Linked DNA regions of Ovis aries. The protein of the gene in region 1 purifies or fractionates together with the protein of each later gene. This does not show direct contact. Links are inferred from orthologs where the notes say so. Each region holds a gene or a part of one and is shown in the gene's direction. Other genes may lie near its edges.

Evidence for each region.
Region 2: the proteins of SSRP1 (region 1) and MCM6 purify together in Homo sapiens (affinity purification with mass spectrometry; 4 studies listed by BioGRID and IntAct, with this or other methods). This does not show direct contact. The link is inferred for Ovis aries from reciprocal best matches to the Homo sapiens genes SSRP1 and MCM6.

Annotation. Positions count from the first base shown.
Region 1 is NC_056068.1:79,361,594-79,365,404, reverse strand, and holds part of SSRP1 (FACT complex subunit SSRP1), read left to right. Parts: coding exon 1-52; intron 53-176; coding exon 177-280; intron 281-374; coding exon 375-503; intron 504-710; coding exon 711-932; intron 933-1,907; coding exon 1,908-1,980; intron 1,981-2,357; coding exon 2,358-2,496; intron 2,497-2,587; coding exon 2,588-2,633; intron 2,634-3,811. UniProt on the Homo sapiens protein: Component of the FACT complex, a general chromatin factor that acts to reorganize nucleosomes. The FACT complex is involved in multiple processes that require DNA as a template such as mRNA elongation, DNA replication and DNA repair.
Region 2 is NC_056055.1:174,969,925-174,973,735, forward strand, and holds part of MCM6 (DNA replication licensing factor MCM6), read left to right. Parts: intron 1-254; coding exon 255-400; intron 401-1,190; coding exon 1,191-1,341; intron 1,342-3,811. UniProt on the Homo sapiens protein: Acts as a component of the MCM2-7 complex (MCM complex) which is the replicative helicase essential for 'once per cell cycle' DNA replication initiation and elongation in eukaryotic cells.

The DNA of each region.
Region 1 (3,811 bases):
GCTGCGGCTCTTCCTGCTGCCCCATAAGGACCAGCGGCAGATGTTCTTCGTGGTGAGCTGGGGCCCCGCGGCCCGCTGGGGCCTCGGGAGGCAGCTGCCACCCACGGCCGTCTAGCCATCTGCTGGGCCTCCGAGCCCCGGCTGGCGCTGAGCCTGCTCGGTCCTTCCCCCCGCAGATCAGCCTGGACCCTCCCATCAAGCAGGGTCAGACTCGCTACCACTTCCTCATCCTGCTTTTCTCCAAGGACGAGGACATCTCCCTGACGCTCAACATGAACGAGTGAGTGAGGCTGTTCCCTGCCTGGGCAGGGGCGGGCGGGGGGGCGGGCAGGCGGAAGCCCGCAGCGACCCCGCCCGCCTCTTGCTGTCCTCAGGGAGGAGGTGGAGAAGCGCTTCGAGGGGCGGCTCACCAAGAACATGTCAGGATCCCTCTACGAGATGGTCAGCCGGGTCATGAAAGCGCTGGTGAACCGCAAGATCACGGTCCCGGGCAACTTCCAAGGGTGAGCGCGCCAGCCTGGGCTGCTGCCTGCCATGGGGGGTGGGGAGGTGCGCTCTCAGGTGAGCCCCTGCTGGGAACGCCGCCCCGCGGGGCCCTGGGTGGGCTGTCGCTGGAGGGGGCAGCCCCCCTGAGGCCTACACACCGGGGGGCTTGGGGCATGTTGCCCAGGCGGGCTGCCCAGGCGGCACTGACCGCGCCCCCTCCCCAGGCACTCGGGGGCCCAGTGCATCACCTGCTCCTACAAGGCCAGCTCAGGGCTGCTGTACCCCCTGGAGCGGGGCTTCATCTACGTCCACAAGCCGCCCGTGCACATCCGCTTCGACGAGATCTCCTTTGTCAACTTCGCCCGCGGGACCACCACCACGCGTTCCTTTGACTTTGAAATTGAGACCAAGCAGGGCACCCAGTACACCTTCAGCAGCATTGAGAGGTGAGCGCCTCTGCCCAGCCCTCCCGGGCACCCTGGCCCCGACCCAGCCTCCACTGGGCGGCCCGGCCTCTCCAGGCAGGCGACTCCTCTGATGTGTCGAGCCTTGAGCAGTTTCTCTTTTGCTGCCTGGAATTTGGCCTTCTCTCTTGGGGTGCTTAGCCTTCGGCAGCTGCTGTATTGCTTGCTTTCTGTACTTAAAAAAATCTGAGTGCCGTATGTATTTGGTACTAGTCCTCTTCCTCTCCCCGCACAATGGAAATGCTGTCTCCTCCTTTCCTTGAATGATCTCTGTGCCCGAGAACACAGCAGCTGTTCACTGAATGCTGGCTGGGGGCTACATGTTTCACAGACATGTTTACAGTCAACCTTCATAACAGCCTGAGAAGGCTGGGTTGCTGCTGCTGCTAAGTCGCTTCAGTCGTGTCCGACTCTGTGCAATCCCATAGACAGCAGCCCACCAGGCTCCCCTGTCCCTGGGATTCTCCAGGCAAGAACGTTGGAGTGGGTTGCCATTTCCTTCTCCAATGCATGAAAGTGAAAAGTGAAAGTGAAGTCGTTCAGTCGTGTCCGACTCCTAGTGATCCGATGGACGGTAGCCCACCAGCCTCCTCTGCCCATGGGATTCTCCAGGCAGGAGTACTGGAGTGGGGTGCCATCGCCTTCTCCAGAAGGCTGGGTTACAGACCAGCAAAACGCCCAGCCTGCCTCCCCGCTGCTTGTGGGTGTTGGTGGACAGGCACACACTGCTTCCTGTGTTTTCTTCCCCTGAAATCTTAAGATCCTGTAAGTTTTCAAGACTAGCGTCTGACTCTTCTCTGCCTGTTGTCTGCCGGGGGTCTCTGAGATCCCGGGTGTGATTGAGCTGTCGAGGGTTTGGGCCCCTTGGTCCGTGCGGCCCCTGGGGGGTGTTGAGATAGCCCACAGCCCACCCCGTGTCGGACCTGCCCACTGGGTAACGGGGCCCTCTCGTCTCAGGGAGGAGTATGGCAAGCTGTTCGACTTTGTCAACGCCAAGAAGCTCAACATCAAAAACCGAGGGCTGAAAGAGGTACCTGGGCGTGCTTGGGAGGAGCCTTGCCTGTTCTCTGTCGGGGAAGGGGCTGGGGTTGGCGCGGCTTCTTTTTCACTCTCTCTTCTCTTCTCGCCTTTGTAGAAAAAAGAGGTGCGTGAGACCCTCCCCCTCCGGGTACAGGTTTCCTGGCATGACCTTAGAGCAGGCTCCGCAGTCCCCCAGGGGCCCCCCGCGGGCCGGGCGCGGGAGGGGCTTGGACTAACTGGGTTGGCAGGGAGTCGGGCAGACGCTCTGCGCTGAGCTGTGTGTGGACACCTCCAGGCGCGGTTGCTCCGAGCTACTCACAGGCATGGGGATGGCTTCCGCGGGCGCGGGTCGGGGGGCTGGCCCTGAGCCCCACGCCCGCCCTGCAGGGCATGAACCCCAACTATGATGAATACGCCGACTCGGACGAAGACCAGCACGACGCCTACCTGGAGCGGATGAAGGAGGAGGGCAAGATCCGCGAGGAGAACGCCAACGACAGCAGCGACGACTCGGGAGAGGAGACCGGTGGGCGGTGGGCGGCCTGGCGGGGGGCGGGGCAGGGTCCCCAGGGGCGGGGGTGGGGCGCAGAGCTCACGCGGCCTGTGCTCTTTTTCAGATGAGTCCTTCAACCCGGGTGAAGAGGAGGAGGACGTCGCAGAGGAGTGAGTCGTGGGTCTACTCGGCGGGGTGAGGGTGGCCCATAAGCTTCAGGGACTGGAATACCTCTGAGCGTTCCCAAGTCCCGGAGCTACCTACCGACCGAGGGTAGAAAAGCGACCGCTGTTGAAGTGATACAGGGCCACGTTTTAAAGTTGTCAGGATGCTTTGTGAGTGCAAAGCATCTCCTGAAACCAGAAAACGACAGTGGAGAATGGGGGTAGGGGCAGAGCTTGCCCGCTTCCCAGCTGCGGTCCTCGGGTCAGGCGGTGCATCTCTGTGTCTCCTCTGTGAGATGGTAGTGTCCATCACTACTTTAAAAAAACTTTATTTTTATTTTTGGCCGGGCTGGGTGTTCGTCACTGGGTGCAGGCTTTCTCTGGTGGCGGCGAGCAGGGGCTGCTCTCTGCTCTCGGGGTGTGGGCTTTTCACTGCAGTGGTCTGTCTTGTTTTGGAGCAGGGGCTCTAGGGTGCAAGGGGCTTCAGGAATTGTGACTCGCGGGGCTTAGCTGCTCTGCAGCGTGTTGGAATCTTCCCAGAGCAGGGATCAAACCTGTGTCCCACTGGGAAGTTCCTCTATCGAGACTCTCGATTGCCGATGTCAGAAATATGACTCAAACTGATTTTCGTGTAAGAGTGAGTTTTATTAGGTCATGTAACCAGAGAGTCTGGTGATAGAATTGGGCTCAGGCACCTGAATCCAAAGGCTTCCCTGGTGGTTCAGACGGACCTGAGCCTGTCTGAAGAATCCACCTGCAATTCGGGAGTTACGGGTTCCATCCCTGGGTGGGGACGATTTCCTGGAGAAGGGGATGGCAACCCACTCCAGTATTCTTGCCTGGAAAAATCCCATGGACAGAGGAGACACAACTTAGCGACTACACCACCACCACCACCACGACTGAGTCCAGGTGCTCGGAAGTTGAGGGGAATATTAGTTTTTACTTCTGATTTCCTTATTTTTAGATGGGTGCATGCATCGCTAAATGACCCTGAGCAGCACGGGGCAGGCTAAGTCCTCCGAGTTAACTCTCAGAAGTGCTGCTGTTTTCAGAGCAGTGGTGGATGGTGTGCTTGCCTCCCCTTCCTGAGTCTGAGTTCTGAGCTGTGCTCTGATGAACTAAGAGTTAAGCCATGCACCACCCCCCCCCCCACCCCACTTAGAGCCTGTGGCTGGGGTGGG
Region 2 (3,811 bases), on another chromosome or scaffold:
TAACAAATTCTCAGTTATTGCAGAACATCTAGCTTCTTGCCTCTTCCTTGTCTTATTTTTGGCTACCAATCAGAGTGAACAAGGAACTATAATGATAACAAAGACTAACTGGTTTTGCTACAGAAGGTACTCTTCTGAAAATTCCAAAGCCTAAATGAAATTTTAGATTTTTTTGGTTTTATTTATCTGGGCAGTTCTGATTATCAGTACCTTCAGTATCTAGCTATGAAACAACCTGTCATTCAATGTTTCAGGAGCACGCGCAGAAACTGATTCCCGAGTCAGTGGTGTTGATGGATATGAGACAGAAGGTGTTCGAGGTCTCCGGGCCCTTGGTGTTAGAGACCTTTCATACAGGCTAGTCTTTCTTGCCTGCTGTGTTGCACCAACCAACCCAAGGGTGAGTGTCTTAGTAGAATGGCAAAGCTTAAGAAAGACATTACCTGAGGCTGCCACAAATTCAGTGTTAAAGACAAAGGTTTGGGTTGAGATTTGCTCTTTAGCTCTAAAACCAGACTTTTTCATGCCTTGTTTTCCTGACCTTAGGGAAAAGTCTTATTTTTATGTGTTCAAGTTCGGTGCTCTAAGGATATTGGTGCTATTATTATTAATGGTGGTTTTTCTGGAGGTGGGGGTGGTCTTGTTTGTTTTTTAATTGTTACAGTTCCTCTGTCACACTCCTTGAGAAAGTACAAATAGAAAAATTTCGTAATCTGGGCAATAGCTTATAAATTACTCTTTCTGAGAGTGATTGACTCCCTGGTATTGTAGTGGTTGAGAACTTAATTTTGTTTGCAGGATGGGAAAGCAGTGAGAAAAAGTTTGGAAAATAGTCCAGTGTTGGGAAATGAGGAGTGAACATAATATTCTGTTCATTCTCATCTTCGTAACAATGATTACCATTTTATTATGGCTCATCTCTTGAGCATCTGGATTCATTTAGATAGCAATGCAAAACAATGGTGGTAGCTTTTTTTGTTATTTATAAATCACTGGACAGATGACAAGCTCTTTGGTATTTTGGCTAACTTAGGCCTTTCTGGTTAGAAGATTTTTTTCAAAAAGACCTTTACAGGCAACAGATTTTGACCTCCCAGGATGTATTTTGTTTCTGGTGATGTTTCTTCTCTTTCACATTATTTTGACTTATTTCTATACTACTATTTTTTTCCTTTTCTTCTCCCCCTCAGTTTGGAGGAAAAGAACTCCGAGATGAGGAACAGACAGCTGAGAGCATTAAGAACCAAATGACTGTGAAGGAGTGGGAGAAAGTGTTTGAAATGAGTCAAGATAAAAATCTGTATCACAATCTTTGTACAAGCCTGTTCCCTACTATACATGGTAAGAAGTCTTATCTGTGAAATAAGCTTGAAGTCAAAGTAATGTTTGTAAAACAGCAACATGTGACTTCTTAAAATACACAAATCAGATGTTAAAAGGTTTTTAGTGGGTTTAGAAGGGGTTTTTAAAAGTCATTTATAAAAGGACAGATATTACATGGTTCCAGTTGAGATGAGATACTTAAAATAGGTAAATTCATAGAGAAAGTAGAAAAAGATTACCTGTTGAGGAGAGAAATAGGGAATTGTTTATGGATAGAATTTGTGTTTGGTGTTATGAAAAGACCTAGAAGTGAATGGGTTATGGTTGTAAAAGATAGTGAATGAATGTACTTAAACCCCTTCTGAACCCCTTAAAAATGGTTGCGGTGGTTAATTTTATGTTGTGTGTATTTTGCCAGTTTTCTTTTGAAAAAAAGAAAAAATCATTTAGTCTTTTTCTGGCTTTAGGACAGAACTGCACTTAAGTATATTCTTAATATGCCAGATTAACATCCTGATCTCTTTTTCTTGTTAGTTTTCACAATGGGAAGAGATTTCATATTGTTTTTTTGATTATATGTACTGTGCCTAAGCCTGGCATGCTGCAGTTCATGGGGTCACAAAGAATTAGATACGGCTTAGCGACTGAACAACTGTGCCTATACCTTGTGGTTTCTGCTTTCGCACTTTCTTAGCTGTTGGTTGCTAGCTGCTCACTGTCATTAAATCCCTTGCACACTGAAGGATATGACTAACTTTTCAGATCTCATGCTTTGTTTTTTTTCCATCCCTCCATATTCAGTTGAAGTAAAGGCAAGAGTTCATAAGATTATGGTTATTTGTCTTAGGTATGTATTTTTAATCATTGAAAATTAACCTTTTTTTCTGCTTAAATATTTGGTCAGTGAAATTGAACTGAAATCCTTAATATTAATAATCCTTTGTGGGTTTTAGAGTATCCTCCCTTAGAATGCTGCTGCTGCTAAGTCACGTCAGTCGTGTCCAACTCTGTGTGATCCCATAGACGGCAGCCCACCAGGCTCCCCAGTCCCTGGGATTCTCCAGGCAAGAACACTGGAGTGGGTTGCCATTTCCTTTTCCAGTGCAGGAAAGTGAAAAGTGAAAGTGAAGTTGCTCAGTCCTGTCTGACTCTTCACGAACCCATGGACTGCAGCCTACCAGGCTCCTCCATCCATGGGATTTCCCAGGCAAGAGTACTGGAGTGGGTTTGCCATTGCCTTCCTTAGAATGAGTCGGTATCAAATTTTTATACTGTTTCATTCCCCCACCATAAATTAATCTATTGCTTCATAACAAATTATCCCAAACTTAATGGCTTAAAACAACAAGCATATTTCATACTGTCTGTAGATCAGGAATTTGAGGGAAACTTAGCTGTGTGGTCTTGGTCAGTCTTTGTAGATTTTGTAGCCAAGATGTCAACTAGGGCTGTAGTCATCTGAAGGCTTGACTTGAGCTGGAGGATCCACTTACAAGGATGCACTCACTGCTTATCTGTCAGTGCTTGTTGTTAGCTGGAAGCCTCAATTCCTTACCATATGAGTCTCTTCCCTGGACTGTTTCAGTGTCCTCGTAGCACAACAGCTGGCTTCCCTCAGAGCATGCAGTCCAGGAGAGCAGAGCCAGGAGGAAGCAAAATGCTTCTCGAGACCTAGTGCTAGAAGTTTTACACCTTCTCTTCCACCATATGCTATTTGTGGGAACCAAGTTACTAAGCCCAGCCACACTGAAGGAGAGGAGAATTAAGCTGTCATCTAGAAATGAGGATTATCAAAGAATTTGTGGGTTATTTTAAACTACCGCACCTCCAACGCATTTGTTTCATACAGGTTATAAGTCAGAAATTTTGTTTTTGGAATGGATTTTAAATTTTCTGCTTCTAAGGAGTGCTTTGTGTACCTGTGCCAGCATTTCGTTGATGGCATTCACAGAAGGTCATAATAATTAAGACAGAAGAATGTTTCTTCCAATATCACATTTCTAAAATTTGGTGTTATGTTTTTTTTTAATTGTTCATTTCCTTCTTGTATTTAAAAACCATTTTTAGAAGCACTGTAGATCACATTCAGCATCTTGCCTAATCTGTATCAGTTCAATTAGCTTGTATTTATATTTAGCTTTGGGTCACTATTCCTGATACAAAAGAGGTAAGTCATGGATCATTTCCTGAAACTCTTGATAGAACTATATAACCTGCAGTTGGAAAGAACTAGCGAATATGGTAGGCTGTAGTGGACATAGTTTATTTATGGGGAGAGATATTTGAGGACCGTGACATAGGGAAAGACTTTGTATAGGAAGCAGGACTTATAGACAAGGAAAGACTCTTAGAATGGTGAGCATCAGCATCTGTTTCAGGTGAAGGTATTAGTATAGTGATTAGGTGACTGTAGATTCATAGGATGAGAACCAAGATCAAGATGAGAAACCAGAAAGATATTTTAACTTTGGTCTTAGCTTTGCTTCAG